Linked DNA regions of Canis lupus familiaris. The protein of the gene in region 1 purifies or fractionates together with the protein of each later gene. This does not show direct contact. Links are inferred from orthologs where the notes say so. Each region holds a gene or a part of one and is shown in the gene's direction. Other genes may lie near its edges.

What was found.
Region 2: the proteins of EXOC3 (region 1) and EXOC8 purify together in Homo sapiens (affinity purification with mass spectrometry; 5 studies listed by BioGRID and IntAct, counting the BioPlex papers as one, with this or other methods). This does not show direct contact. The link is inferred for Canis lupus familiaris from reciprocal best matches to the Homo sapiens genes EXOC3 and EXOC8.
Region 3: the proteins of EXOC3 (region 1) and EXOC1 purify together in Homo sapiens (affinity purification with mass spectrometry; 5 studies listed by BioGRID and IntAct, counting the BioPlex papers as one, with this or other methods). This does not show direct contact. The link is inferred for Canis lupus familiaris from reciprocal best matches to the Homo sapiens genes EXOC3 and EXOC1.
Region 4: the proteins of EXOC3 (region 1) and EXOC6B purify together in Homo sapiens (affinity purification with mass spectrometry; 3 studies listed by BioGRID and IntAct, counting the BioPlex papers as one, with this or other methods). This does not show direct contact. The link is inferred for Canis lupus familiaris from reciprocal best matches to the Homo sapiens genes EXOC3 and EXOC6B.
Region 5: the proteins of EXOC3 (region 1) and EXOC2 purify together in Homo sapiens (affinity purification with mass spectrometry; 6 studies listed by BioGRID and IntAct, counting the BioPlex papers as one, with this or other methods). This does not show direct contact. The link is inferred for Canis lupus familiaris from reciprocal best matches to the Homo sapiens genes EXOC3 and EXOC2.
Region 6: the proteins of EXOC3 (region 1) and EXOC7 purify together in Homo sapiens (affinity purification with mass spectrometry; 5 studies listed by BioGRID and IntAct, counting the BioPlex papers as one, with this or other methods). This does not show direct contact. The link is inferred for Canis lupus familiaris from reciprocal best matches to the Homo sapiens genes EXOC3 and EXOC7.

Annotation. Positions count from the first base shown.
Region 1 is NC_049255.1:11,954,693-11,960,220, reverse strand, and holds the start of EXOC3 (exocyst complex component 3), read left to right. Parts: upstream 1-1,723; 5' UTR 1,724-1,776; intron 1,777-1,911; exon of another isoform or gene 1,912-2,038; intron 2,039-3,359; 5' UTR 3,360-3,406; coding exon 3,407-3,550; intron 3,551-5,302; coding exon 5,303-5,522; intron 5,523-5,528. UniProt on the Homo sapiens protein: Component of the exocyst complex involved in the docking of exocytic vesicles with fusion sites on the plasma membrane.
Region 2 is NC_049225.1:8,510,676-8,516,052, forward strand, and holds the start of EXOC8 (exocyst complex component 8), read left to right. Parts: upstream 1-2,051; 5' UTR 2,052-2,199; coding exon 2,200-4,383; 3' UTR 4,384-5,377. Other genes in the region: DNA-dependent metalloprotease SPRTN, read right to left, coding at 274-373, 1,348-1,568. UniProt on the Homo sapiens protein: Component of the exocyst complex involved in the docking of exocytic vesicles with fusion sites on the plasma membrane.
Region 3 is NC_049234.1:48,920,177-48,925,071, forward strand, and holds part of EXOC1 (exocyst complex component 1), read left to right. Parts: intron 1-300; coding exon 301-377; intron 378-895; coding exon 896-1,124; intron 1,125-4,895.
Region 4 is NC_049238.1:51,118,416-51,123,310, forward strand, and holds part of EXOC6B (exocyst complex component 6B), read left to right. Parts: intron 1-375; coding exon 376-387; intron 388-3,433; coding exon 3,434-3,560; 3' UTR 3,561-4,895. UniProt on the Homo sapiens protein: Component of the exocyst complex involved in the docking of exocytic vesicles with fusion sites on the plasma membrane.
Region 5 is NC_049256.1:2,150,245-2,154,339, reverse strand, and holds part of EXOC2 (exocyst complex component 2), read left to right. Parts: intron 1-114; exon of another isoform or gene 115-627; coding exon 628-689; intron 690-2,956; coding exon 2,957-3,016; intron 3,017-3,583; exon of another isoform or gene 3,584-3,874; intron 3,875-4,095. UniProt on the Homo sapiens protein: Component of the exocyst complex involved in the docking of exocytic vesicles with fusion sites on the plasma membrane.
Region 6 is NC_049230.1:5,416,282-5,421,976, forward strand, and holds the start of EXOC7 (exocyst complex component 7), read left to right. Parts: upstream 1-2,000; 5' UTR 2,001-2,098; coding exon 2,099-2,158; intron 2,159-2,345; coding exon 2,346-2,411; intron 2,412-3,542; coding exon 3,543-3,727; intron 3,728-3,910; coding exon 3,911-4,016; intron 4,017-5,695. UniProt on the Homo sapiens protein: Component of the exocyst complex involved in the docking of exocytic vesicles with fusion sites on the plasma membrane.

The DNA of each region.
Region 1 (5,528 bases):
GCGGGGACCCCGTCCTGAGGGTCTCGGTCCCCCGGGGGAGTCCAGGGAGCGGGGACCTGTCCTGAGGGTCTCGGTCCCCCGGGGAGAGTCCAGGGAGCTGGGACCTGTCCTGAGGGTCTCGGTCCCCGGGGAGCGTAGCGTGCAAGGAGCAGGGACCCCGTCCTGAGGGTCTCGGTCCCCCGGAGAGAGTCCAGGGAGCGGGGACCTATCCTGAGGGTCTCGGTCCCCCGGGGAGAGTCCAGGGAGCGGGGACCTGTCCTGAGGGTCTCGGTCCCCCGGGGAGAGTCCAGGGAGCGGGGACCCCGTCCTGAGGGTCTCGGTCCCCCAGGGAGCGTGCAGGGAGCGGGGACCCCGTCCTGAGGGTCTCGGTCCCCCGGGGAGCATGCAGGGAACGGGGACCTGTCCTGAGGGTCTCGGTCCCCCGGGGGAGTCCAGGGAGCCGGGACCCCGTCCTGAGGGTCTCTCGGTCCCCGGGGAGCGTGCAGGGAGTGGGGACCCCGTCCTGAGGGTCTCGGTCCCCCAGGGAGCGTGCAGGGAGCGGGGACCCCGTCCTGAGGGTCTCGGTCCCCCGGGGAGCATGCAGGGAGCGGGGACCCCGTCCTGAGGGTCTCGGTCCCCGGGGAGAGTCCAGGGAGCGGGGACCCCGTCCTGAGGGTCTCGGTCCCCCGGGGGAGTCCAGGGAGCTGGGACCCCGTCCTGAGGATCTCAGGCCCCGGGGAGAGTCCAGGGAGCGGGGACCCCGTCCTGAGGGTCTCGGTCCCCCGGGGGAGTCCAGGGAGCGGGGACCCCGTCCTGAGGGTCTCGGTCCCCCGGGGGAGTCCAGGGAGCCGGGACCCCGTCCTGAGGATCTCAGGCCCCGGGGAGAGTCCAGGGAGCGGGGACCCCGTCCTGAGGGTCTCGGTGCCCCGGGGAGAGTCCAGGGAGCGGGGACCCCGTCCTGAGGGTCTCGGTCCCCGGAGAGAGTCCAGGGAGCGGGGACCTATCCTGAGGGTCTCGGTCCCCCGGGGAGAGTCCAGGGAGCGGGGACCTGTCCTGAGGGTCTCGGTCCCCCGGGGAGAGTCCAGGGAGCGGGGACCCCGTCCTGAGGGTCTCTCGGTCCCCGGGGAGCGTGCAGGGAGTGGGGACCCCGTCCTGAGGGTCTCGGTCCCCCAGGGAGCGTGCAGGGAGCGGGGACCCCGTCCTGAGGGTCTCGGTCCCCGGGGAGAGTCCAGGGAGCGGGGACCCCGTCCTGAGGGTCTCGGTCCCCCGGGGGAGTCCAGGGAGCCGGGACCCCGTCCTGAGGATCTCAGGCCCCGGGGAGAGTCCAGGGAGCGGGGACCCCGTCCTGAGGGTCTCGGTCCCCCGGGGAGAGTCCAGGGAGCGGGGACCCCGTCCTGAGGGTCATGGTGCCCCGGGGGAGTCCAGGGAGTGGGGACCCCGTCCTGAGGGTCTCGGTCCCCCGGGGAGAGTCCAGGGAGCGGGGACCCCGTCCTGAGGGTCATGGTCCCCCGGGGAGAGTCCAGGGAGCGGGGACCCCGTCCTGAGGGTCATGATGCCCCGGGGGAGTCCAGGGAGCGGGGACCCCGTCCTGAGGGTCTCGGTCCCCGGGGAGAGTCCAGGGAGCGGGGACCCCGTCCTGAGGTCTCGGTCCCCGGGAGCGTGCAGGGAGCGAGCCCCCAGCCCAGCGCGCCTCCAGCAGCCTCTCAGAGAGCCCAGGCCCCGCCCCTGCGGCGCGTGACCGGAAGCGGAAGTGCCCGCTCGCTCACTTCCGGCGGGCGGCGGCGGGCGGCGGCTGCGGTGAGTGGTCGCGGGTGGCCGCGGCGGCGGGCGGCTCGGGCGGTGGGCGCCGGGGTCTGGGGCCTGGGAAGCGGGCAGCGGGGCGGCAGCTCCCGAGCACGTCCGCGCTGCGCTGTCGTCCCCGGAGCTCGCGGCCCGGAAGGCCGCGCGGAGGCGGAGGCGTCGGCGTCGCGGTGCCCCGGGCCCTGCCCCTCGGAGCCCCGCCCCCGGCTGGGCGAGTTCGCCGCGGACCCGGGATCTCCGCCCGTGGAGCGCCGCGGGGGTGAGGAGGACGCGGGGCGGCGGAGGCGCGGGGGAGGCTAGGTCCCCGGGTCGGGGCCGGTGGCGGGTGGTTGGGCGGGCGCCGCGGGGGCGTGAGGGCGGGGTGCAGGGGAGCGGCCGTGCAGTCGCTGCCGGCGAGGACCCGAGCAGGTGCAGAGGTACCTGCGGTGGCCTCGCCGGCCTCCTGGGTGTCGGTCGGCCGTCGCCCCTGCCCTCCGCGTGTTCCTGCCCCGCTGGCTTTCGTGTGGAAGCGGCGGGAGGGCCACCTGCGTGCGGAAGGCGCTGGGAACCTGCCGCGCCTTCAGGGTTCTGCTGAGAGCACCGGGGCTGGGGGTAGGACCAGGGAGAAGAGGGGTGGTTCTCATCATTGTAAGAAGTTGTGTACAGAAAGCATGGGTGCCGAGGGCCTGTAAGGTGTGGGGCTCAGGGGGCCGCGTGTTTACCAGACCCTGTCCTTGGCCCCTTGGGCATGGGCACCGGCACCCGCAGCCGCTGGGGTGGATGGTAGGTTGGCTTCGGGGTCAAGCCTGTGCGCTCTGCACCTGTGCTCTGCCCTCTTGTCTTGTTTGTCACGCCTCCTAAATGTACCAGTGGAGTTTCAGATATTACAAACAGTGATGGTTTTTAAAAACATTATTAAACATTTTTAAAGATTTATTTATTTGAGAGAGTGTGCCCACCAGCAAACACGCATGCAGGTGGGGGAGGGCAGAGGGACGGAGAGAGAGAATCTGAGGGCGACTCCCTGCGGAGCATAGAGCCCTGACCTGGGGCTCCATTTCAGGACGGTGAGATGGTGACCTGAGGCAGAATCAGGAGTCAGGTGTTTCATGGACTGAGCCACCCAGGTGCCCCAGTAGTGGTTTTTGAGGGGAACCCTAGGGCAGGTGCTGGGACTTGAGCTGAGGGTGGGTGAGGCTTTGAGGCATCTGCTGGTCCTGTGCCTCAGTTCCTCACTGCGGCCTCCCGGCTCTGCTGCCTCACCGGTGTGGCCAACAGCTGCTGTGAAGGCTCCAGAAATTGGCTGTGTCCACGGGAGAGAAGTACCTTGGAGATGGACCTCTGATAGGGTGAGGGGTCTGCAGGCCACATCAACACATCCTCTGTTTGTTCATAGCTTTAACTGTACGTGCCTCTGCTCAAAGGTACAGCTGTCTCCAGATCACGCCCTGAAGGTGTATTAAGGAGTTCAGCTTTGCTGGAGTAGTGCTGTCAGAAGTTCTCCTTTAGTGTCTGTGAACAGCTGACCATTACAGGGAATGAGTTTTGTCCCGTCCTAACTTGTCTTCCCCTCCTGCTCCCTTCTCTCCCTGTGCACACAGGACTCCTCTAGTATGACTGGTGCAGACACCCCACCTGCTCTCTAACCATGAAGGAGACAGACCGGGAGGCTGTAGCAACAGCTGTCCAGAGGGTTGCTGGGATGCTTCAGCGCCCGGACCAGCTGGACAAAGTGGAGCAGTACCGCAGAAGAGAGGCCCGGAAGAAGGCATCCGTGGAGGCCAGACTGAAGGTACACGACCAGAGAGGCCACAGTCGGGATAGATCTTTACTCCCAGTCAGGATAGATCCATGGATATGGAGTTTCGGGTTCCTGCACAACATCACGATTGTCATTTCGGTAAATTCGGTGGTGATGATCTGGAAACAGACAGAATTAGACCATCAGCTTTACTTAAGACATTCCTTCCAACACTACGTTACCAGGCAGTAGATTTATAGAGAAGATAGCAGGAATACTGGAAACAACGAAGGAACAAAGTTTTAAGCACCTAGAAGTGTCCGTTTAACTTAAACAATAGGGATCACTGGGTGGCGCAGTGGTTTAGCGCCTGCCTTTGGCCCAGGGCGCGATCCTGGAGACCCGGGATCGAATCCCACGTCAGGCTCCCGGTGCATGGAGCCTGCTTCTCCCTCTGCCTGTGTCTCTGCCTCTCTCTCTCTCTCTCTCTGTGACTATCATAAAAAAAATAAAAATTAAAAAAAAAATTAAAAAAAAAAAACTTTTAAACAATAGTGGAAGCATAGCACCTATCCTTATTTGTTAAAAGGCATTTTGTTTAGAACTTTCCAGCACACAGTGGCTGGCTGTGCCGGGTACTCTGTTGGCCCTGGGGAAGAAGGAGGGAGGAGAGCAAGGCATATAAATTAAGAATGTGACAGAGAGGCAAGAAAGAAAATTATTCTTTTTCAAGGTATTTTATGATTGCTTTTGCTTTCAACTTAATTTGTATGAAGAGGTGAGGTTTTGTTAAAACACATACATTCAGTGTAGTTATAAAAACATTAGGATCATGGTCTGTGGTGATTGATGGGCAGCAGAGCGGTCCTTGGGGTAAAGAGAATGCCTTTGAGGAAAGTTCATTTTCACACTCTCATGACAGTGAACTCACCTCTCCCCTTGAAAACTCACCAGCAGCAGGCTTGATGAGACAGGATGAGGATCATTCATTTGTACCAAAAATGAAGCCTCCAAAGACTGGACTTACTTAAAACAGTAGTTTTACTTTAATTTATGAAATAGTTTGGATCTGCTACATTTTTAGTCAGCATTTTAATCTGTTTCAGAAACTTGTGGGATTAACTGAGAATCATCATTGTGGCCTAGAAACCTTCTGTAGTCCATTACCATCACCATTAATTATTTCCATGGGCAACTTCCTGCTCCTGGGTCAAATGTGTTCCTGGCCTTTCTCTCCACTGACTTACACTCCTCCGTGTCCCCTCCCTCTGGCTGTACCCCTTGCTGATGGCATTTCGGCATGCCCATGGAGTGAGTTCAAATCTCAGATGTACCAGTTCTGCACGGTGGGGCCAACCCTCCTTGAGCTGAGTCTGGTCCTGGCTGAGCGGCAGGAGGCCTTCTAGCTCAAAGCTGATGAGCAAGTCCTGACTGTCTTGGATGAGGCCTGAGGGATGCCTGGGGAACCATGTGTGTGGTCATCCTGGGGCAGCCAGAGGACCTGAGGCATGCCCATGGTGGTGTCCAGCATCTTCAGGCTGAGGGCCTGGGTAAGGAGTTGGGAGGTCTTCTCAGCAAATCTTTAAAAGGCATTATTCTGTTCTAAGGCAGCAATGAAAAAAAAGGAAAAGCTATTTTGTGAATTAGTTAAGTCCTTGTTGAATTTTATTCTCTTTTCTCCAAGTAATGACTCTTCCCAGCTACTGTATTTGTCTCCTGTGCACTTGAGCGTCCTGGGGAAGACTTGTTCCTGGCCATCCCAGCTCTGCTCACAATGCCCTCGCCTCTGGGTGTCTCTCCTAGGCTGCGATCCAGTCCCAGTTGGATGGTGTGCGCACAGGCCTGAGCCAGCTCCACAATGCATTGAACGACGTCAAAGACATCCAGCGGTCCCTGGCTGACGTCAGCAAAGACTGGAGGCAGAGCATCAACACCATTGAGAGCCTCAAGGATGTGAAGGATGCTGTCGTGCGGCACAGCCAGCTTGCTGCGGCCGTGGAAAACCTCAAGAACATCTTCTCAGGTGGCC
Region 2 (5,377 bases), on another chromosome or scaffold:
TCCATATTTATAAAAATGAAGACAACACACATTGTACATAAACAGGGCTGTTGTGAAGATCGAATTAAATAATAAAACTTTATTATTAAGCCTTTAGCTGTGAAGAACTGTAAAAATATACGGTAATCATTATTATCTGCATTGCAGTTAAAGTTTGCAATGAGGAAAAACAGGTGTTTGGTTTTTATATTACAGGTTAATTCACAGCAGTGTAAATCAGTAAAAAGCATTTTTAAACTACTCAGCTAAGAATCAAGTTTATGCAAAGAATACCTCTACGAGATCCTTTCTTGGTCTCAACTTTAACAGAGGTTCACTGAGACGGATGGAACACATTCCACCCCTCCCTTCATAGCTGCATAGCCCAGCACACCTGGAAAACAACCACCACAAAAGCATTATTTACCTAAAACACACAAAAGAGAAACAGAAAGGAGAAGAATAAATCCTTATACATTCTTGGGCAGTTCACACTAGTATACCTTTTTTGTTAGGAGATATCTTCAGATCACCCCAGTGAGAGAGAGGTGTGAAGAGAACTGCATCCCTTGCCCTAGCCAGGTTGCAAGAGGCCAAAGACAATCCTGTTCTGCGGCTCCCAGTCTCCTCCCTTCAAACTATAATCAGTTTGTGGTAGTTAACAGCCAGATCTCCATCGGCGCATCTCCGAAAGCGTAAGAGAAGCCTTTACGAAGGAGATTTGTCCTTTTAACCAGTTTTATGTCCTATCTTAATCTGTCTTAGTTTAGGCTGTTTTGTATTACTTCAAAGACAAGCACCGTGGTGTACAACCATATTAAAGCTGTTAACTCCGTTCATGAGCCGGAACAGATTACTTCAAATCAGGAATTCTCTACTTTAGTGAACATCCTTTTAGAGGCATCCCCGAAGATCCTTTCGGTCCAGAAATACGGAAACGTCAGCCCCGTCCCCCTCCTAACACCTGAGCTCACTACCAAGTGGTGACATCTCAAAGGGCACAGAAGAGGACAACACACATCTCTGGGAGGCTTCGCTGCCTCCTCGGCATTCTTTCTTAGGGGCTGACTCTGGGTGCTTCTCCCTCCTGGGTCAGAAACGTGTTAATTTATTTTCAAGTGAGGGGAGATCCAAAGACATCCTTTTCTCTCCCGGTGTCCTTTACAAATCAATCGGCTACCGGAATGGGCCACACAGCTAGCTTTCTTAAAGTTGTTGGAGAGGGAGGGAGACTAGGGGAGGGAGAGGGACAGCGAGAGGAGCTGCTGGTGTCCACCACGAGACCCCCAGGTTTCACGCCCCCCGGGACCGGGGGCTGCAGAGGAGCTGCCAGCCGCTCTCGCTTCCCCAGCGGGGCTCGGGACTCACAGGGTCATTCGCAGGCTCCACTTCACCTCGACGGCCTCCAGCTGGCCCCAGAAGAACCGATCGTTGAACTGCACAAACAGGGCCTGCAAGTCCGGGGTTGGGTCCACCAGCTCCCAGGACGCGTCCACCAGCGACAGGGGCGCCTGGGCCCGGTCGCGCTCCGATCCCTGCAAGTTCCACTCCTCCTGAAGCCGCAGTGCCAACACCAGATCCTCGTCCATCTCTGCCGGGATCCCAGGCGGCGTCCGAAGGCGTTAAGCAGGCTCCACGGATCCCAGGCTCCGAGAGCCTGGTCGAGCTCCTAAGAAGTACCGGCTCTCGGGCGGCTCTCGGGCCGGCCCGCCGATCTCGCGAGAACTCAGGAATAACTGGCTCTAGAACGAGAACTGAGTTTGCCCCAAACGCCGAGGCCAAGATTCTGGGGCTTAAAAAAGAGAACTCTGCAGGATACCTCCTAGTGGGCTCAAAACGGGGGCTCCCAGGGCCTGGACTCTAGGAAGGCGTCAGGAGACTGGCTACCGCCTTTACGCTCCGCCGCTCACTTCAAACACAAACGTCACGCCCGGCCCATGCGCAGTACCGCGTCTCGCCGCCTCGCCCTCCACTCTCTTCCGCAATAGCGCCTCCGGCGCATGGGCTCTAGGCCGCGGGCGCCCCTGCGCATGCGCGCTGCCTGCGCCCGGCCCCCTGCGCAGGCGCGGTGCCCGAAGCTCAGGCTCGGGCGCAGGCGTACTCGTCTCTCTTCCATCCTGCTTCCTCAGCCCCGGAGCTCGGCGGGGCTTGGGTGGGTCTCGACAGCGGCGGCACCGGCGGCGGCGGTAGTGACAGTGGCTTCGTGAGCCTCGGACGGAAATGGCGATGGCGATGTCGGACAGTGGGGCGAGCCGCCTGCGGCGGCAGCTGGAGTCGGGGGGCTTCGAGGCGCGGCTGTACGTGAAGCAGCTCTCGCAGCAGTCGGACGGCGACCGGGACTTGCAGGAGCACCGGCAGCGCATCCAGGCGCTGGCGGAGGAGACGGCGCAGAACCTGAAGCGCAACGTCTACCAGAACTACCGGCAGTTCATAGAGACGGCCCGCGAGATCTCCTACCTGGAGAGCGAGATGTATCAGCTCAGCCACCTGCTGACCGAGCAGAAGAGCAGCCTGGAGAGCATCCCGCTCACCCTGCTGCCGGCCGCCGCCGCCGCCGCCGCCGGGGCTGCCGCGGCCTCGGGCGGGGAGGAGGGAGGCGGCGGCGCGGGGGGCCGAGACCACCTGCGGGGCCAGGCTGGCTTTTTTCCCGCTCCCGGGGGCGCCTCCCGCGACAGTTCGGGTCCGGGCGAGGAAGGGAAGCAGCGCACCCTCACCACCTTGCTTGAGAAGGTGGAAGGCTGCAGGCACCTGCTGGAGACGCCGGGGCAGTACCTGGTGTACAACGGGGACCTGGTGGAATACGAGGCTGACCACATGGCGCAACTGCAGCGGGTGCACGGCTTTCTCATGAACGACTGCTTGCTGGTGGCCACCTGGCTGCCACAGCGGCGGGGGATGTATCGCTACAACGCCCTCTATCCCCTGGACGGTTTGGCCGTGGTCAATGTCAAGGACAACCCGCCCATGAAGGACATGTTCAAGCTGTTGATGTTTCCCGAGAGCCGTATTTTCCAGGCGGAGAATGCTAAAATCAAACGGGAGTGGCTGGAAGTGCTGGAGGAAACCAAGAGGGCCCTCAGTGAAAAGCGGCGAAGGGAGCAGGAAGAGGCAGCGGCCCCTCGCGGACCACCGCAGGTGACTTCCAAAGCCGGGAACCCATTTGAGGATGAGGAAGAGGACGAACCAGCTACTCCTGAGGTAGAAGAGGAGAAGGTGGATCTCTCAGTGGAGTGGATCCAGGAGTTGCCCGAAGACCTGGATGTCTGTATCGCGCAGAGGGACTTTGAAGGAGCCGTTGACCTGCTGGACAAATTGAACCACTACCTAGAAGATAAGCCCAGTCCACCTCCTGTTAAAGAACTAAGGGCCAAAGTGGATGAGCGGGTCCGACAGCTCACCGAGGTGCTAGTTTTCGAACTGTCCCCGGATCGTTCCCTGAGAGGCGGTCCCAAGGCGACTCGAAGGGCAGTTTCTCAACTCATCCGCCTTGGCCAGTGCACAAAGGCTTGTGAGCTGTTTTTGAGAAACAGGGCAGCAGCTGTGCATACTGCAATACGTCAGCTTCGTATCGAAGGCGCCACTTTACTCTACATTCATAAGCTCTGCCACGTGTTCTTTACCAGCCTTCTTGAGACTGCGAGGGAATTTGAGACGGATTTTGCAGGCACTGACAGCGGCTGCTACTCTGCCTTTGTGGTCTGGGCGAGATCAGCCATGGGCATGTTTGTGGATGCTTTTAGCAAGCAGGTGTTCGATAGTAAGGAGAGCCTCTCCACGGCGGCTGAGTGTGTAAAAGTGGCAAAGGAGCACTGTCAGCAACTGGGTGACATCGGACTGGACCTCACCTTCATCATCCATGCCCTTCTGGTGAAGGACATCCAAGGGGCCTTGCACAGTTACAAAGAAATCATAATCGAAGCCACTAAGCATCGCAACTCTGAGGAGATGTGGAGGAGGATGAACTTGATGACCCCAGAAGCCCTGGGCAAACTCAAAGAGGAGATGAAGAGTTGTGGGGTAAGAAACTTTGAGCAGTACACAGGAGATGACTGCTGGGTGAACCTGAGTTACACGGTGGTTGCCTTTACCAAACAGACCATGGGCTTCTTGGAAGAAGCGCTGAAGCTGTATTTCCCAGAGCTGCACATGGTGCTTTTGGAGAGCCTGGTGGAAATCATCCTGGTTGCTGTGCAGCATGTGGATTATAGCCTTCGGTGTGAGCAGGATCCGGAGAAAAAGGCTTTTATCAGACAGAATGCGTCCTTTCTGTATGAGACCGTCCTCCCTGTGGTGGAGAAAAGGTTTGAAGAAGGTGTGGGGAAACCCGCCAAGCAACTCCAGGACCTGAGAAATGCATCTAGACTTATTCGCGTGAACCCCGAAAGTACAACATCAGTGGTCTGATGCTTGGCTCTGTGTATATGTATACGTATATATTGCTTATATATTATTTATATTTATATTAAGTTGCATTAGGATACTCTTTATAGTCTTGAACACAGCTTAAAAGTAAAAGACACCCTCTCAAATAAAAATGCAGAATCAAAAGAAAAAAAGAAAGAAAAAGAGTTCAAATTAAGCCCAAATAACAAAACATTGGAATTATTAAAATATATGCTTCCTTTTTAAATTATGCTAACTCTCTAATGAATATATTGCCACACTATAGCATTTCAGTGTATCCTTTTGAGTCATAACACACTTTCTTACAGTATATATTAGGCAGCACAGAAAAATAATATAAGTATGTGGTGTTTAAGTATGTTGTGAAGTTTCCCCGTTCACTAAAATGTTAGGTATCTTTAAGAGTACAAGTGCCGTGCAAAACGACCTGCTTCATACACTCCCCCCGCCTTAAAATGTGATCAAACAATTTTGGGAAAAGAAAGGAATTGAGAAAATTGATTTTAGGGTAAATTTTGGTCAAAAGAATACCTTCTTGAAAGTGGCTAGTTTGTGGACTCAAATACATGGATCCTTATAGAATACAAGGGGAAGCTTTCAAAAAAAAAACAGCTCAGCAAACATTGCCAATGTAATTTGAGTGGCTCATTATTTTCACCTAATTAGCAGCTTTCTAATACTTGATTTGGGATCACTTACTTGAATCTTAAGGACTATAGTAAATTTTTTTTCAACATATTCCTGAACCATGTGAATTTTCAGCTGCAGCTTTTGTCTTTATCATACTAAAAAATTAAAATGATTTTAAAAAGAGAGAAAGAGACTGAGGAAACTGGCAGCCTCCCGTGATTTTTAGCTGCTTTCCCCCACTTTCCATTGCAAATTATATAGTGGCTCAGACTTCATGCAAATGGGAGAAAAGTTTTCACTGAAATATTTGTTTAGATGTCAGCATCTGGGTGCATGGGAAATTAGGAAAAATATACAAACCGCT
Region 3 (4,895 bases), on another chromosome or scaffold:
CCACAGCCCCTCAGAGCCTTCTGTAATTTCTCTGTCCACACTTTCCCTTCATGGGACACACAAGCCTATCTTCTCAGCCCACAATAATTCTCAGATAAAATCTAAGAACAAAACATTTTATAAACATTCTTAAACAACATACTAAATTATATAGTTTTATCAGTAATACTACCTTTAAAAATCATTATTTTTCATAATCTATTCTCTCCTAGGAATTTTAAGACTGAGCAGGCTTTTGCTATATAAACTAGTCAAATTGTTGGTCTTTTATTATGTAAAGTACCTGAATAATTTTTGCAGACTGAAGCAGAGGACCTCGATGGAGGACCATTTTCCCGGCAGCATAATGCTGGTGTGCCACTGCCTGTTTCATCTGAGTATGTATTTGTTACTATCCGTTGTTTATTTTGAAGGGAAGAAGGAGTACTGTTCACTGAGGAGCCAGATGATTCTGGTATTTCACAACACTCAGAACACTGACATGTCTGCCCAGTGCCTTAAAGGTCTGAGTTGAAATTCGTCCTGTTGTCTGACCCTTTAGCTCTTTTTTGCTGTAGTGATCACACACACACACACAAAAATGCAATCAATTTTAATGTTTGCTGGTAAGAAGTAGCATTTGAATTGCAGGATATTTCTCAGAAATTACAAAGCACATTTCAGGATCCAGCTTTACACATGATACAAAGTTATATTTTGAGTAATAAAACTTCAAAAAATATTTTTATGTTGGAAACTGCTGTATGATGAAATTGTTCATCATGAATGGACATTTTTAATTAAGATATAAAATTTTAGTTATTTTGTGTATATACTGTGGATTAAAGTTAAAAATAAAGATTAAAGTTATAGAAACCTGTAATAAATTCCTATACTTTGTGTGTTTTCTGAACAGGAAAGATATGATCCGTCAAATGATGATTAAAATATTTCGCTGTATTGAGCCAGAACTGAACAACCTAATTGCATTAGGAGATAAAATTGATAGCTTTAACTCCCTTTACATGCTTGTCAAGATGAGTCATCATGTGTGGACTGCACAAAATGTAGACCCTGCTTCTTTTCTGAGTACGACATTAGGAAATGTTTTGGTGACTGTCAAAAGGAACTTTGACAAATGCATTGTAAGTTTGTTTTTTTAAAATCACTTAGAATTCTAATCGTTGCAAGAAATAGGTAAATGTATTTAAATCAAGAGATTTCCAGTTTTTCATTGGAGGATCTACTATTCCCATCCCTCAAAGTCCTGAAGTAGAGTATTGGCTGCAATTTATGTGAACAGAGTTAGTTGGGTGCTACGGTGCTAGCCATTTCCCCTTCTACACTGTGTATGAATCTTGGCAAGTTCTGGAGTAAGTGGCACTGAGGTAGCAGCTGCTTGAGAGGTCTACTAGGTGACTGAAATCTCAGTTAACTGATTAGTGATCATAAATCACATAAAACAATTGAAACTATCATTTGGATTTATTGTTGTTCTTTTTTAAATATGTTCTAATAGGAAAATTAATAATTAGATTATTTTAATTGTTTAAATTATTGACTTAATTAGTTGTTTTAGTTTACTCACTTAATAGCTTTAATTAATAATTATATTGCTTTATTTTAAGCATCCATTGTTCTTTGGGGCACCTGAGTGGTGCAGTTGGTTAAGCATCTGACTCTTGGTTTCCACTCAGTTTGTGATCTCAGGGTCCTGAGATGGAGCCCTACATTGAGCTCTGGGCTCAGTGCCCTCCTTCACCATCCCAAATAAATAAATAAATCTTTTTTTTTTAATTCTTTAAAAAAAATAGAGAGTACATTTTTCTTATAATAACTTCCAGCAATCATTATGTTCTTCCTTCTAATAGGAAAGAAAAATCATTAACAACTTTATTTTTGTTCACTAGGTTTTGGTAAGCTTGTAGATATGATTTGGGCTGGGCCAGGTTCTAAAATCAAAGCTTCTAGTTAGTGTGTAAAAGTGGATGTCTATCATCTGAATATTTCTACTATGTAACTTCTAAGTTATATCCAGCTCTTGAATATTCATAAAATAATAGGAGATAAAAATATTAAGGGCAGGTAAAATCCACATCATTTTTATACTTTTGGAAAATATTTATTGAGTTTTTAAAGTATGAAGGCAACCTACGTTATCTATAGAAACCTAAATGTCACCTTCTTAGTCCTCTCCTTACCACATGATTTCTCTTGGTATTTGAAATACTATGAAATTTGACCCTTATCCTCTTCCCTCTCCCACCTTCTCCTGTGGTGATACTAAACCTAGAGGATCTGACTGCAAGCTGAGAACCAAAGGGAGAATGAAGAGTGGCCAAAGGCTAAGATAATGAGTCCCATGTGACCCAGTAGAAACACTAAATCATGAGACACTGTACATTTCCAGCCTATGAAGGCTTTGTTGCTTTTATTAGTAAAATATAACTTTATATAATACCTGTTAATCCAACACAACATAATTGTTAAAAGTATAGGATGTAGTATCAGGTAGAGGTAGATGTGGGTTCAAATAAAGTGCTTATTAGCACACACTGCCTTGCATAGAAGTAAGGCCTTAGTGATAGCTCATAATGGTGGTGCTGCTGCCGCCGTGGTGGCAAGTAATAATAGTTTATTAAAGAATGTTCATGTTATTCAAGACAGAACAGTGGGAAAACAAAGTAAAATTAACTTAGACAAAGGTATAAACTCAGTATTTTCTCATAAAATCTAAAGGATTTTTCTTTTGCCACTAAAGGGACATCTCTCTGTGTCCTATTTTAACTCCTGTCTTCTCACAGCTTCTGGTGAATAGTGTGTACTCAGTACATTTTGGTATTTGGGACAAGACTAGGATCTAAGGCATGCCTTGAAAAGGTAGTGAATGGGCTTGTTTGTATTGACCCAAAAGCATGAATGTCAGATGGCTGTAGCAAATGGAACAGATAGCACCTGAGTTTGGTTCTTTCACCTAGTGGCCAAGCTCAAAGTATCTGCTGTTCTTCAAAGAACACAACAAGACTAAGGAGGCTAGCCTAAATTGTGCTAGAGCTAGTTAGAAAGTGACAGGGGTGCCTGGGTGGCTCAGTCCGTTGAGTCTGCCTTCAGATCCTGTCCTGATCCCAGAGTCCTGGGATGGAGCCGCACATGGGGCTCCTTGCTCAGCAGGGAGCCTGCTTCTCCCTCTCCCTCTCCCTACTGTTCCCCCTGCTTGTGCTCTTTCTCTGTCAAATAAATAAATCTTTTTTTTTAATTTATTTTTTATTGGTGTTCAATTTACTAACATACAGAATAACCCCCAGTGCCCGTCACTCATTCACTCCCACCCCCCGCCCTCCTCCCCTTCTACCACCCCTAGTTCGTTTCCTAGAGTTAGCAGTCTTTACGTTCTGTCTCCCTTTCTGATATTGCCCACACATTTCTTCTCCCATCCCTTATATTCCCTTTCACTATTATTTATATTCTCCAAATGAATGAGAACATATAATGTTTGTCCTTCTCCGACTGACTTACTTCACTCAGCATAATACCCTCCAGAAATAAATAAATCTTAAAAAAAAAAAATTAAGTAAGAAATCAAGTACTACCAAGTTGGGCCCTACATTATGATCTGCATTTAATTTACTTTCCAAAATTCTTCACACTATAGTGATATGGATTTGTGCTCTTAAACCTTTGAGAATGATATGATTTGGTTAAATTGCCATGGACAAGGGATGGATAAGTAATATAGTGATGTGTGCCTTGCATCCAACTTGTAGTCTTAATCACTGAATAACCTCTATGTCGAGTAATCTGCTGCAAATAATGCATACATTGAGCTTGAGAGAAATTTTGCTTTTATAAGATTTAGTTCATTGATGGCTTTTCTTTTGAGAGAAAGAGCATACACACACGTGTGTGAGTTGAGAGGAAGGGGCAGAGGGAGAGAGAGAGAGGGAGAGAATGTTAAGTAGGCTCTAAGCCTAGCACAGAGCCCAACACAGGACTCAGTCTTATGACCCCGAGATCATGACCTGAGCCAAAACCGAGAAGCCAATGGCTAACTGACTTGAGCCACCCAAGCACACTCATGGCTCATTTCTTAAATAAATGCATTGTCTTTTTCTTGTACCAATTACAACCAAGCATCATTTAGGATTATTTTTTTTTTCATTTAGGATATTTCCTGTTAAAGTTTAAGTATATTCGGGCTATAATTATATCCTGTGCATTTAAATGGCGCACTGAAGAAAAATCCTCATGTAGCTTAATAATGGCCATAGACCAGCATTCATAAATTAGTGCTTACTGTATACCAGGCACTGTTCTAAGCACCTTGCACATATTAACCTCATCTGATCTTCACAACTTCCTCTCCCCTACATAAGATAGATTCTGAGGGGTTGTGTTATTTTTCCCAGGTCAACAGTAAAGAGTGATGGAATTAGTATTCATACCCAGTCTGTTTCCAGCACCTACAGTCTTACACTACCCTCTATTACTGCATCCATTTTTACTTCTCACAATTACAATACTGATGCAGTGGAACACCTCATAGTATTCTTCAGGTTCACTTGGTCCACACTACTGCAATAAAGCAAGGATCACAATAAAGCAAGGAGTTATTGAAATGAAGTTAATTCAGATGAATTTTTTGGTCTCTCAGTACATATAAAAGTTATGTTTATATTATACTGTAGTCTATTGGTGTTCAGTAGCATTATGTCTAAAAAACAATGTACATAACTGAATTTAGAAATACTTTATTGCCAAGAAATGCTAAGCATCATTTGAGCTTTCAGTGGGTCATAATCTTTTTGCCGATGGAAGGTCTTCACTCCATGTTAATGGCTGCTGGCTGATCGGGGAGGTGGTTGCTGAAGGTTGGGTTGGCTGTGGCAATTTCTTAAAATAAGACAATAATGAAGTTT
Region 4 (4,895 bases), on another chromosome or scaffold:
CAGCTTGGAAAAAGGGCAGCTTTTTCTTGTCATCACACCTGTTAGTTCCCAGCTTCTTAGAAGAGTACCCCGCACCTAAGCAGCACAGCAAGTACATTTATGGCTGTATATGAACTTAGATACATGGATTGGCATCTAGGAGATCAGAGTTGAACCTCAAGCAGAAGGAAAGGCTTAGGTGTGTCCTCCCTACTAGGCAATTAAAAAGGGGGAAGGAGGGAGAGGGAAAGTAGGCCAGAGCAGGATGCAGAGGAGTGTGTTTGGAGCCAAGAATCTCAGAGCCCAGGGTGTACTTTTCTGCAGCCATGACAGACTAATGTTTCCATTTTAACTTTGTTTCCCATTATCCTCTCTCCCAATGACCTTCCTCCCTAGGATATCTAGAGAGTAAGTATATTATCCACTTGGGCCTTTTCCACCACTTTGAGGCGAGTCCTTCTGGTTTCCTCACTGACACTAATGACTGCACTAAATCCCTACCCTGCGAGGAGTCTCCACCCTGACATACTAATCTACTAAACTGGCCTGGTGCCAACTGGCTGGCTATCTCCTCTGTCCTTGGTCCTTAGAGTGACCATTGGCCTCCCAATTCCTATGGGGCTGGAGCTGGTGGCAGGGATTATTCCCCCCGTGGGTGCCAGGTAAAAGATTGTTCCCACTCAGCTTCCTGGCACAGTCTATGCCCTTGCTGGTGCGAAGCTTGAATGTCAGCCCTGACAGAAGGGAGCTCCTCGGCAGTCTCCCCCACTTCCTGGTGGTGAAGCCCATGGTGTTATGATCTGGAACCCCTGTCTACTGTGGAAGACTTTTTATTGGAGGCAAGGCCTAATCCCAGCTGAAATGAATGTCCCTCATTGCAGGCCTCTCAGTTGGTGTTTAGACGTCATACTCACTGTGTGTCCAAACAGGCTGTGGGATTCCCTTCTATTTCCTTCTCTCAACAGTCCTTGACTTGTCTGTTCCTAAGAATCTCTAGATCTGAGAGAGAGTGCCTCATCCACTTTCTGTAGATCAACAATAGGCTAAAAGAATCAGCCTCTCTATAGCATTCTGAAGGCCTGAAAGTAACATAGCCATGTGCTTGTCCCTAGCAATCATCAGAGTTTAAAAGCTTCCTCCCAAACACAGTTGGGCTAGAGGCCACCCAGATCACTAATATTCCTATTTCCCAGCCTCATAGGAATCAGTCCTCTTACCTGACCCTTTCCTGCTTTCCCCACAGCCAGATATACCACAGAGCTTGACAATCTCTCCTTTTCAACCTGGCATTTCTTGGCAGGGTGAGACGTAAAAAGACCCAAAGACACGCTCAAGACATTCAGGAAAGAGAAGAGGCACCTATATCATTGAGAGGTGGCTATAGCCAAAGTAGATCAGAATCCCAGGAGGGGAGGGGAGAGGAGAAGGGCTACCCTTTGGACTGGGAGCATTCCAAGGCACACACTGGCACACCACCATCAGCCATCAGGGCACATGAGTTTATCTTTTGAGTAATCCCAACTCTAGGCCTTAATGGTCAAGAACTCCTAGCCTCTGAGGCTCAGAGAGCACCCTCTTCCTCCCTCTCTCCTACCTTATTACAGGAGCTGCCTTATGGGAGTTGAAAGCCAGTTCTGGCTCCCCGTCTCTGGGCAGCTTCGAGGAGTCATGAAATTAATGATCACATAGGACCTTAAAACGACCACCCTTTACGTGAAGGGAGTGCTTTTTCTTCCTTCCTCCTTTCTTTCTTTTTTGTTTTATGTTGTTTTGTTTAGATTCATAGCATATTCAGCAAAGGAAAGGGAGTCCTCTGGGATAAATAAATAAATTTTTAAAAATAAATAAATAAAGCCAGGCAAGTTCCACAAACATAATTGTGCAATTAATGTGCAAGGGATCAAATACAGTGATCACCATAGCCTCGAGGATCCTGTGCTTTCTTATCAACCAACCTCTGTCACCTCTCCTTCTTCCTCACCTCCAAGCATAGACCTGCACATGTGGGTGGTTGTACCCAATATTCAGTGTTCTGAGTTCGCTTAAGGAATTCCAACCTGCAAGCCCTTAAGCTTAGATCTGAGAGAAAAGTCTCAACTCATTTATGGCTGTTAATGTCAGCCCCAACCACCCAGTTTTGATGCTTATCAGAATATCCTGAATATAAATGCCCTTGTAGCATCTCTAGCCTTTTGACCCATTGGCCTCAAATCTGCCCCTGTGCACAAGGGCCACCCCATAGGGGAAAAAAATGGACCAGGACTAGCTGAAGGCCCCTGGGAAGTTTACCTGGAGGTAGATTACCAGGGTTAACAGGTTCCTTCTCCCCAGCCCTTCTTCTGACCTATCTCCGTGCAGCTCAGGGAACTGTGAAGTCAGAGAGCCAGCCAGGCTCCTGGGGGATGGTGGTGAAGACTACCTATACCAACCCCAAGAAGTTGGTCTGGGTGGTGTTCTTAATTCTCTAACACCAGAACTAGCTGTGGCCTGGAGGTCCAGTGTGCAGAGGCTGAGGCCAGAGTTAACAGGCAGATATCAGAGGTTATGAACTCTGCAGGGATTAGTACTTTCCCACATTCTATCACAATGGCTCACTCAGACTTGGGTGTTTCTGTGAAGCCCCAGCCTGGTCTTGACTTTATCCATGCTTCCTAGTTGTCTTTCCATCTGGCCACAACCGTTGGCCAGAACTACCCATGGTTTGTGCTCTAAGAATATGCCATCTCTGGAGCTTTAGCAGGACCTGGTAATAGAAAGCTCTGCAGAAGTCAAAGGTCTGAGGGTATGGACAGCCCTCAAGTTCTCAGGGGCTTCTCTTGCCTAAAGTTCTGGCTCCAGTGAACGGACGGTCCCCCTGCTCTCCTCAGCACCATGGACTCAGCCACCGCCTCTGGATCTTTGTCCCTACTCTGGGACAAAAGAGATCAGTTGAGCCTTTAGTTTTGTTATGGATGGGAGAGAGTAACCGGCTGCTGAAGTTTAGAAAGACACAGTGGCTTTCAGTTATTCATTTCCTCTTGGAATTGCTAGTTGAGAGGATTTTTCTGCTTTATCTTTCAAATACAAGCTTTAAGATCCCAGCAGGATTTCATAAGCTCATGAGATGATAAGTGGATCCTAGATATTCTAAGAGCCTATTGACCATCAGGGCTTTAGCATGCTCCACATACCTGTAACAGGTGCATACCTGGAGATAGAAAGTAAGGAAATAGGTAGGGTGGGTCTGGATGATAGGGGGTCAGCCCCTCCAGAGCTGGCTTTTGACTATCTTCCAAAGGTGAAAGCAGGACAGCTTTCCAAATAGAAGGTAAGTACGGGCCTGCAATGGAAATATTCCAGACTCTCAGCTCTGAGTGGAGGCGAAGATGCACTGTGCCATTCTGCCTCCTGCCAGTTTTTCTTCCACCATCATCTCCTCAAACACTTTGCTCTCTCTCTTTCTTTCTCTGTTTAGGATGAAGGACACCAGCCGCAAGAACAACATGTTTGCACAGTTTCGGAAAAATGAACGAGACAAGCAGAAATTGATCGACACTGTGGCCAAGCAGCTCCGGGGACTCATCAGCAGCCACCACTCATGAAGGCTGGCCTCCAGCCCACAGAGGCCACCCACGACAGCCCCATAGTCCAGGACCCAGCCCTGGCTGCCCTGCATTTGTGCATTCTTCTTCAAAGAGAGCAAATGTATTTTTTTAATAACATATGTACAGTATTCGCATAATCTTTCCCTATAGTAAAAGAGGCACAAGGAAAAGCAAGTACGTGAGAGGTTGCTAGGCTGGGATTTAGGGGAAGTTACACTGCACTATCTGTATTAGCCTAGAGATGGTGGTATCACCAGTCCCAGGATGGTGAACCACCTTTCATCATGGCTCTAGGTCTGGGGCTCAGGAATGACACAAACGAAATGGGTACTTGGCTCTGGGAGGTAAGGTGAGTAGGCAAAAAGAGAATAAAGTATTTCCTGTTCACTCCCTGGTGCCCCATTCACCACATAGGTGAGGTTGGCTCTTCCTGATACAAGGAGGGGACCCGGAAAACATCACTGCTTAGGGTATGAAAGAGCAGCACACAGTTCTGGAGGTTCTTGCCTCTTCAGTCCACCAACTTTCACTGGCTGTGGAACAAGCATGGCATGTGGCCAGAGGACACCTTCACTCCAATCTCCCAAGCTTGGCAGTTTGTTTAGCCCAGATCTGACCTGGTGCTTTTACTGCTAATTGTTCTGGGACAAGACAGAGCTGAGTATACAGTGGTAATAATTGGACTCCATGACTAACTGCAGGTTGCGCCACACTAGGAGGAGTTTTATTGGCTCTTGAAAGCCAGTGTGAATGGAATCAGAGCCTTGGTCCCTTCCCTGTTCATCTCGTTGTCTTCTTTTCAGGGTCAGGGCACTTGGTTCAGAGCACAGATCAACAGTTATTTCTGGAGCTCTTCACAGAGAGTCTCAGACTTGGCCTCCTTCAGTAGTGTCATTGGGATAAGTCAGATTCCAGAAGCCTGAAAATGGCCCTTGCTTTACCCCGAGGTAAAACCTGAAGATTACTTGGGAGTGTTCCAAGTAAACATCTTGTATCTTAAACCAAGGCTTGTATCTTAAAACCAGCCTTCTGGCCGCCATCTTTAAAAGAATATTATCAGCCTCTGTGCTGTAGGGGCAGCTGCTGCTAGACAGGATGCCTGTGGGGATGGGGCCACTGTCACCATGAAGTAGACGGGGCCAACCATGGCTAGTAGTTTGTCACTAGTGGCCCAACTCTCCCTTACTAAGTCATATGCTAGATATGAAGCTCTTACGGAAGCCCAAGCCTTTCCATCCTCTCTCGAGATCCCCATAGCTATCTTTTGGCCCCATCTGTAAACCGATCCCACACATTCTGGAGCTTGCCGGGGGAGTCTGGACTGTAGCTTGG
Region 5 (4,095 bases), on another chromosome or scaffold:
GCTTTGATGTTAGAAAGTGTTTCTCAATTTGTGTTATTCTTTTTCAAGTTGTTTTTGGATCAACTTGTCAATTTTTATTAAAAAAAAAAAAAAAAAACAATCATCAAACAAACAAAAGCCGGTGGTGATTAAATCTGCAGAGCTTTGTTTTAGATTTGAGATTAAAGTCAGTGTACCCAAAAGGGCATAGGTATAAGAAAGTAAGCCAGTCTGTTTCCTTAAATAATCCAGGGACAATGTTTCAAATTTTGCTTCCTCTCACAATCATACTAAAGGAAACATTACTGGTTAGGTAGTGAATACAGATTTCTGGAAAATCCCTGTATAGGTTGAACCTTTTTATAACAAATCTGACTCCCTGCCTTCACAGAGTCATACTTGACTTTGAGTTAATTTTGAGTTAGTTAATTTTAAACTAGTAAAAAACTAGTTTGTCATAGCTGATTTCTTTGGAGTGTTGTAGAAAGTCTGTTCATAGTTAGTAGGTGGCAGGTGGTGGGGAACCACGTGCTGGCAGTCTTCTGTCAACCGTCTCTGCAGTAAGCAGGCTGAGACTATCTGCTCATCGCTTGTTTCAGTTTAATAATTGATGCAGTTCCCCTCACTTTTTCCTTTTCTCATCCTTAGGCACGGCTTGAAATCTGTGCTTTGAGAGATACTGTGGCTGTTCACCTGACACCTGAAAGCAAGTGAGATGCTAAATGTTTTTGTTCTGAATGCTTCATTAAAAATAAAGATTATCTTATTAGTATATAAAATCCTTTGTAAAGATAACTGGTCAGAGTGAGTGCTCATGATTGTGATGTGATAAAGTTTACATTGCATTAATTTTTTTCGCTAAAAAGCATAATAAGCCAAAGACTCCTAATACTGGTTCTCTGTAGCATAATATAAAGGAAAAAAAGGTTTAATATGATTTTATGTTTTTCATTCAGTAAGATAAATCTTAATCTCATAAGTGATATAGCAGAGCATTATATATTTCTGTTGAAAAGGAAAAAATAAGAATTGAGTCTTAATCTATTCATAGCAGACTCTGAGGGACCGTTTAAGCATTGTAAATATCAGCATAAGAGGAAGCCTTGTGGTTTCTCTACAAAATTTTGTAGTGGAAATTTGATGATAACTTTTAGCTGTTTTGAATGAAAGTCAGGATTTCCTATCGAAATATCAGTAGGTGAACTGAAACATTACTGACTACTTGCCTATACAAAATTGTTTACTCCACTGGCAGTCGTGCCTAGGAAATACTGGGCTATATTGTTAATATGCCTGAGAATCCAAGTAGTATAGAAATAAAATGTCTAAGGACACTTGGTGTGATACAGTTACTCATCTCCAGCTTTTGAGGACATGCCTTACACCATCACTTGTACAGTCATTATCACAACTAAAAAGACTTTCAACAGTTTTTCCTAACAAATGAAGTTAGCTTCTTATTCCTGTTCCTGATGGCTGACCAGAGCCATTCTGGATGGTTCCCATGTTAGTTATGGAGCCACACCTTTTCCCAGTCATCATTTTTCTACATAAAGTACTAAATAATAGATAATAGAGGGCACTCCACTGAGTCCATATTTGATGTGGGTACATGCTTCATGTAGGCACCTAGGTATTCCTTTTAATTTAACCTTTAAGAGCATGAGTTCCTCATCTACACAAGAAAGATAATAAGTAGTTTCTAGGCAGAATTTTGGGGTAATTAAATGAAAAAATGTGCCAAGTTACCCCCTAGCCTGTTGGTGTACTGCAAATAATCAGTGGTATTGTCTTCATCATCATCATCATTACTGTCATAATGTAAAAATAAAGAATAATAGCATTACATTACTTTTTGTTGATTGAGAAGAGATTTAAGATGACGTGATAACAGCAGAGACTCCTCTCTGCATCAGGAAAGAGGAAAGTCGACTTCATAGTGGGAAGGGAGCTGAGTTTGCCCACAAGCTGTAGCCTGTTCCTTGCCCTAACCAGGAACAACTGAAGTTTCCAGGACCAGTTTTTATAACCCTCTTGGAACTTCGTAGTCTCTCTGTTTGCTGCTGTGATATTTGCCCCTCGTTTGAGAAACCTCGCCCAAGACAATGTTTGCTAGGGCACTGGTGAGGGTCCAGTTTTACAATACAGGATCAAAGACCACCTTAAAGTCAAGAATAATCACATTTATTTCTTTACCTTTAGTCAATGTTATAAAAGAAGAAGAGATGAGAAGTTAAAAATTATTCCTTAGTGACCAGTATAAGTCATTACCAAAGGATTTCCCCTCAAGTGCTTTTTTTTTTTTTTTGATTCGGTAGCTTTTCTGGTAGTTTCTACTTTAAAAAGTTAAGCATACCAAATCGGTGGGTTTTTTAATTCACACCTTTTTAGGTTTTCATGAAAAGAAAGGATGTTGAATTAAAACCAACCAGTCAATCCCCACTTACCATACAGATTTTAAATATGATAATAACTAAATGCTGTGGACTGTTTAATTAATGTAAATCAGGCCCTCTACATGTTAATACTATAAATGCCCCCATTTGGTAATCTCTCACAGGATCATCTCTATTTCTAGTTCGTTTCCTCCCTTTCTTACCAGTTGCTTTACTAGTTCAGTTTTGTTCTGAAAAGACTTTAAAAATTGAACATTTCCATATTATGAAGCTCTCATCTACCGTGAGTAGCACCCTGCTGTCAAAATCCGTCTCTTTTAGCTTTTCAAGCCGTGTTTCATTTCCTTGTTGAGTTTTCTGACCCTGCTCCTGCAGGGCCTCCGCCTGGGAACCATACCTTGTACCCTCACTTTTACTTTTACTTTTTCTATTGTTTTTCACTTTTACTTTTTCTACATGCTTCACTGGCTTATACAGGTTCCTTTACATTTAAGATGTACTTAAGAGTTCTCAGTGATGCTCTTGATCCCCCTTAGAAATATGAAATGTTCCAACTTGAATGTTGCCTGTCTGTGTTCCAGGTCGAGTTTTAAACAGGCTTTAGAAGCCCTGCCTCAGCTTTCAAGCGGAGCAGATAAAAAGTAAGTTCTATGTGCCGATTTCAAGGGCAGCTCAGATGTGTGAGCAAGGTTCTGTTACCTCGAAGGACTGTTTGAATAGGTAACGGTTTGGGCGTCAGGATGTACCCGACGGCCCCTGGCAGCATGCGTTACGTTGGCTGCACCCGGCCTGTGTCCCAAGTGCAGAAAAGGTAAAACCTTTCCCCTGCGTTTATGGCACTTGAGACATTAGTTCTGTTCTTGTTTTAAGTGACTAATACAGAAAACATTTTAAGAAAGTTTATTCTGACTCAGTAAACTATATCATTGCCCTAGATTTTTAAAAAGATATTAGAGAAATGTAAGAAGGGCAGCATAGTAAAATGCAGAGCTTGATGATTTTTTTTCCTTGGAGTAGCTCAGCAAGGTGGTTTGTTTTGTTTTTGTTTTTGTTTTTTTTGTTTTTGTTTTTGCTTTATATATTGCAAAGTAGTAAAAAAGTGAATTTGTACACGTGACATAATGAAATTATATACATTCCATTAACATTATGTTAATGGTTTTGCCCAGAGTTTAAACTTTGCTACTCACAAAAGAGGAGATTCTGACCTGAGACAAAATGTAGGCCAGGCAAATCTCAGAAATGCTCTACCCCCGTCAGCTGGGGTAGCGGAAGCGCTGTAGGTCTTTGCTCCTCCACTCCCCGTAGCTGAAGTCCATCCGCCTTTGCATTTGGCTGCTCAGTCCGCAGACATGAAAACCGTGGTGCAGGCTCTGTGATTTCGCGCAGGAGACTGTTCTGGAACCCAGGGGGTGGAGAGAACACGTGTTCTAGTTCTGAGCTTTGTTAACCCCACGAAATCATCTTCTCACCATTAAGCCCACTTCTTGGTGCTTCATCTGAAACAAATGATCTCTTAAGATCCTTTCTGGCCCTAAAATCAGACATCAAACCAGTTAAAGAAACTGAGTCATCAAGTACTAGGATAATTTGCCCACCGAGTTACAGCGGACCCTGATTCTCCTGGCGCCTAATTCACCACCTCCGTTTAGCACTCTCCAATATTTGTTAAAAACGAGAATGCAAAACAGGAGGAAAAGACAAATAGGCCAGGGGTCAG
Region 6 (5,695 bases), on another chromosome or scaffold:
GGATTAGACAAGATAAGGAGGAAGGATGGTGTTTGTAACAGAGAGAGACAAACAGAAGGCTCTCAATACCGGATAGCTGGCTACCAGATTACACTTAGTAAAGGGGATTTGAGAAAATATAGAAAAGCACACAGATATGTATTGTATTTGCAAAAATGCCATGATATTGTGCCGAGTTCAAAGTATTTGTTCATGATTACAGGGATCCTAAGACTTACAGAGCAAGACATTATCAATATTTTTCTTTGAGCATCTACCCTGGGCTTGGTGCTGTTCAGAGATGTAGGTGCTGAAGGGGGCTCTCTGGGCTGCTCTACCAAGTCCAAAGTCCTTCCCACCGTAGCCCTCCGGGCCCTCATTCTGTACTGTGGCACCTGTTTTAAACTTTCCCCTTGGGCAGCCGGGGTGGCTCAGTGGTTTAGCACCGCCTTTGGCCCAGGGTGTGATCCTGGAGAGCCGGGGTTGAGTCCCATGTAGGGCTCCCTGCATGGAGCCTGTGTCTCTGCCTCTCTATCTCTCTCTCTGTGTGTGTCTCATGAATAAATAAATAAATAAAATCTTTAAAAAAATAAAATAAACTTTCCCCTTTACTTTGTTCTCAGGACTGCACAAGGACCTCCTCCGTGAAATCATCGCACGTGCCATTCTACAATGACTCTGCCTTTTTATCTCCTCCATCTGCCACAGGGCTGCACTTCTTGGTGGTTTCCTTCAATACCACTTTTGTGGCCACCCACCAGATCTGAAACTGTCCTGCCCCAGCAGAAGAGCTGCCCAATCCCTCTCCAGGCTCTGGGTCCCCTTTCTTCCTCCTCTTGGATGTGGGGAGTCCTGGGGGGGAACACTGTGGTTTAGTATCCCGAAATATCCTCACACACCAGGTCACGCCTTGTTGTCTATCCCCTTCTGCTTGGATGCCAGATACATAGAGGACCTGAGGAAAGCCACACAGCTATTTATCTCCCCAAGGACCAGGACCAGAGGCAGAGTAGGCAGGGAAGGGATGGAAGAGGGAGTGGCATTTAGGTTTTTGCAGGAGCTCTGTCTTGTGGTGAGAGCAGAACATCCAGCTTTGCAGGAACCTTGATCCAGGAGCATCTCCCCTGGAGTTGTGGTTAGAGTAGCCTCGGGGCAGAGGACTTAGAATGTTTTGGAATTCTGGAGAAAGGACCTTGCTGGCCCTCCAAGCCTTTCATTGCCCCAAAGCCTCTATGAGAAATGCTCCCCGTGTGTCTGAATCCCTGTAGACAGGCGACCATCTCTCTTTAACTGACAGTAGTTACCGAGCTGGGCCCCAATCCCTCAGACAGGTTTGAGAACTTTCAGCCTTCCTCTTGCACCTTTTCCAGATCTAGGTAAGCTTCCAGCAGAAGACACCTCACCAGCAGCCAGGTTCTCACTCCCAACAAATAAAACCATACAGCTCTCTCCAAAACAGACACCCTAGGGTGAGGCTTGGACAGCAAGCTCCAAGCCTCCCGGGGATGGATGGATGCTCCAAGGACTCTGCAGCCCCAGGAATCTGGCTGGGCTCCACACACGCCAGGTTTATGGTTATGGTTGCCACCAGGGCCTTGGGCCACCACTCTGTCCCCAGCCCCCAGCTCGGGGCTTGCACACGACGCCCCTTCATGCTTTTGTGTAATGCAGGCCCGAAGGAAGAAGCGACAGCACAAGCCCCTGGTTCATCAAGTGGCCACGTGTTCGGGGCCCACTCTGTGACACGCTCTGTGCTGCGGCCTGCGGGGAACGCGACATCCGCGCCTGGACACAAAATGCGATCTAGTGAAATAAGCATGTGTCCTTCCCCAGCAGCCTTTGTCAAAAGGGCGAGTCTTCACACGAAGACCGCAAGTGAGCTCCAGCCGTCCAGCTACTTGCGAACCTTCTCTGACAATACAGGGAACACGCACTTGCCACACCCAAGATGGCCACTTGCCCAGACCCGTTATCCAGTTCCGCCTGCCACTCCCAATATGGCACGACTAGCGCGCCACTGGGTGGGGCCAAAGGCGGAAGTGGGTGTGGCCGGGACGGGAGCCGAGAGGGCACACAGAGAGACAAGGCACAGGGCGGTGGGAGCCGCTGGGCCGAGGCGATGATCCCCCCGCAGGAGGCGTCCGCCCGGCGGCGGGAGATCGAGGACAAGCTGAAGCAGGTGAGGCTGGGGAGCAGGTGAGGGAAGGGACCAAGGTCCGGGCCAGGGCATCTGCTCTGGGAGGAGGCAGGGTTGGGAGGGAGCACCCCCTGTGGGGAGACGGCGTTGGGGGCGAGGCCGCGGGGCTGAGACGCGCGGTTCTTTAGCCTCGGGCTTCTTGTGGTCTGCTCACCTCCGCTTCCCCCAGGAGGAGGAGACGCTGTCCTTCATCCGAGACAGCCTGGAGAAGAGCGACCAGCTCACCAAAAACATGGTGAGTAACCCCTCGGGTGGGAGGGGCGGACAGGCCGTTTTTGCGTAAGGCCCGGGGTTCGAACCCGGGTCGCGAAGCTGGTAATGTGTGGGGTGTCTCTTACCTAGCTCCCTTGGCCTTTTCTGCCCCATCACTGAGGATGCCGCAGCCCCTGCTGGTGCAGACTTTCCGCTTTCTGCACAGGCTCTCCATTCTTCCTTCTCTCCTAACACAAACCTCTAGCGACACTGACTTAGGTGGGCTGGGTACTGGTCGTGTGCCGTCCTCACCTCGGGTGATGACCAGAGGGCAGGAGTGGCCTGAGATTTTGTGATGACTGAGGGCAGAGAAAACTCAGCCTTCACCTCAGAGGGCTTTAGGGGTCGAAGGAGCTTTGAAATCAAACAGAGCTGGGATCTGGTCCTCGCCTCTCCCTGTATTTGTGTGTGGCTCCTGACAGGTAGGTAACTCTGAGCTTCGGTTAACTCACCTACTAGAAGCAGCGATGCCAACCTCCCGGTGTGGCTGTGAAGGTCGTAGGAGCCAATGTTTGGGAGTGCATCTTGCATAGTACTTGGTCTACAACAGGTGCTCAGCAAATAGGAATTTCCTTTCTTATTTCTAGAGGAGACTGGAAAAGCTCAAATTGAGTAGATGCAAACTGGGTATGTGCCCAGGAATACAATCATCAAGTCTTAGTCCTTATCTAATGAGATTGGCCGAGAGAGAGAGAGAGAGAGAGAGAGAGAGAGAGAGGGTTTTGAAGGTACTAGCAATGCATTTGAGGCGACTCTGTATGAAACTACTTCTTGTTCAGGCTAGGAAAGCTTCCAAGAGAAGTGAAGTTGAGATTTAGCTTCAAAGGGTGGAAGGGAAGCTATCCTGGGTGATCATTTAGAATGAGTTCCATTTGCTGTGTGGCTTGCCTTCAAGTCAAACTTCCTCCACTTTACTTGGACCACCTCCTTTGTGCTGTGCACATGGTAAGTGCTGGGGATACAGTGGTAAACAAGGACACCGTCTCCCTCCCCTCATGGACGAATTATTATCTAGGAAACCAAAGGAAAGGCTGCAAATGTCGAAGAGCTTGTGGGTGGGTGGAAGCAGTCCTGGGACAACCCCAAGTCCTGAGACTGGGCTGTCCCCCTGCAGGTGTCTATCCTGTCATCCTTTGAGAGTCGCCTTATGAAGCTAGAGAACTCCATCATCCCTGTGCACAAGCAGACTGAGAACCTGCAGCGGCTGCAGGAGAATGTTGAGAAGACTCTGTCCTGCCTAGACCATGTCATCAGCTACTACCATGTGGCCAGTGACACTGAGAAAATCATCAGGGAGGGGTGAGCTAGGGCCAGAGGGTCACATTGCCAACACCTCTTGGGCCAGTGACAACGCTAGGCTTTTGAATATATTTGAGCCCAGAATCCGTTGTGTTAATTCTCTTCCCTTCTAGATTCCATTCTCTTGGTCCTTCTTCTTCATCTTCCATCTGCCCAGGCTGATGCAGCTCTTTGCCTTCACAGCCCCACAGGCAGGCTGGAAGAGTACCTGGGGAGCATGGCCAAGATTCAGAAGGCTGTGGAGTATTTCCAGGACAATAGCCCAGACAGCCCAGAGCTCAACAAAGTGGTGAGAGGCCCGTGGGTGAATGTGGGAGGTTTGGGGACACCAGGCCCTGCCCTGGTCTCATGAGGGACACAGGGCCAGCTTAAAGGAGAACCTAGTAGAAGAAACAGTTGTAGGCAATGCAGTATGCATACTGCAGGCATGAAGACTTCTGCCTTTGAAATTATAGATAACATATTTTTATTATGTTTTTATAATTTAAACTAAATTACACATCCAATATAAATTTCATATTTGAGCTTTATACATTCATTTGTGTTTTTTTCTGTTGTGGTACAAACATAATATAAAATTTGCCATTTTAATCATTTTTAAGTGAGCAGTGGCATTAAGTACATTCACGTTGTGCACCTGCCACCCCCATCCATCTCCAGAACTCCTTCCATCTTCCCAGAATGAAACTCTTGCCCACTAAACATTTAACTCCCATTCCTCCTTTTCCCCAGCCCCTGGCAAGCATCATTCTCCTTTATATCTCTATGAATCTGATTGTTCTCAGAACCTGCATTCGTGTTTTCATGTTTGATTTCTTTGTTTTACAACTTTGTGTTTAAGTATTAGAGTTAGCAGGTGACCAGAGCAGAATGGGGTAAGGCTAGAAAGTGAGGTTGTCTCAAGGCACCAGGAAAAGGGGAGAATGCAGACCCGAAAAGTGGTAGGAGCGGAGCCCCAGACCTCCCAAAGCGGGAAGAACAGTAGAGGAAGGGTCAACTCAGACCTAGTCACCCAGCACACCTTCCTGTTGGCACTACAGTTCTCACCCCAAGTATATGTCTTGCCCAAAACAGGAAGTAAGCGAGATACGCAGATGGGAACCTGGCCTTTCTCAAACCCAGAAAGCTTTTGCTTAGAGCAGTACTTCCCAACATTTCTCCCATCGGGGTTTGTGATGGAAGTGAGGACATTTGTATGTCACACTGGGGTGAACTAGTAACCAGGCAGTGGTTTCTGGCCACCCAAGGTTCTTTCTTCTTGCCTGGAGGATTGGCAGGATCAGTACCTTGGAACACCAGTCACCAATGGGGACACACCAGTGTCATCAGTGCACTGCAGCACATGGGTGGAGGGCCTGTCTTGCAATTAGGGTGTCAGGGACTGGACAACTTTGTTTTGGGGCTCATTGCTAAGTTTGGATCGTGGAGTGAAGAGCTATCCTAGAACTTGGGCGTGGGGCTAGGGTGGAGACAGAACACGTTAGCCAGAGGTCTCAAGAGGATGTCCTCCTCGTTCAAGCAGAGATGGTCCAACTCCTTCCTCTCTCGTGTTTGAAATACCTTTATTGAGATATAATTATTTCTTGAAATGTAATTCACATACCATAACAATTGCTCATTTAAAGGATGCAATTCAGTGGTTCTAGTATAATCATGGAGTTGCACGACGTCACTGGAACCAATTTGAGAACACTTCCATCACCCAAACAAGAGCCCTGAACCTACTGGCAGCCACTCCTCTCTGCTCTTCTTCCCAGTCACGTGCCCCTGCTAGTCCATGGTCTACTCTGTTTCTCCAGATTTGTTCATTCTGGGCTTCTCCTGTGAATGGTATCATGTAATGTGTGACCTTTTGTGTCCACCTTCTTTGACCTACCATAATGTGTTTTTTAAAAGATTTCATTTATTCATTTGAGAGAGAGAGAGAGAGAGAGCATGAATACGGAGGAGGAGGGATTCCTGGGTGGC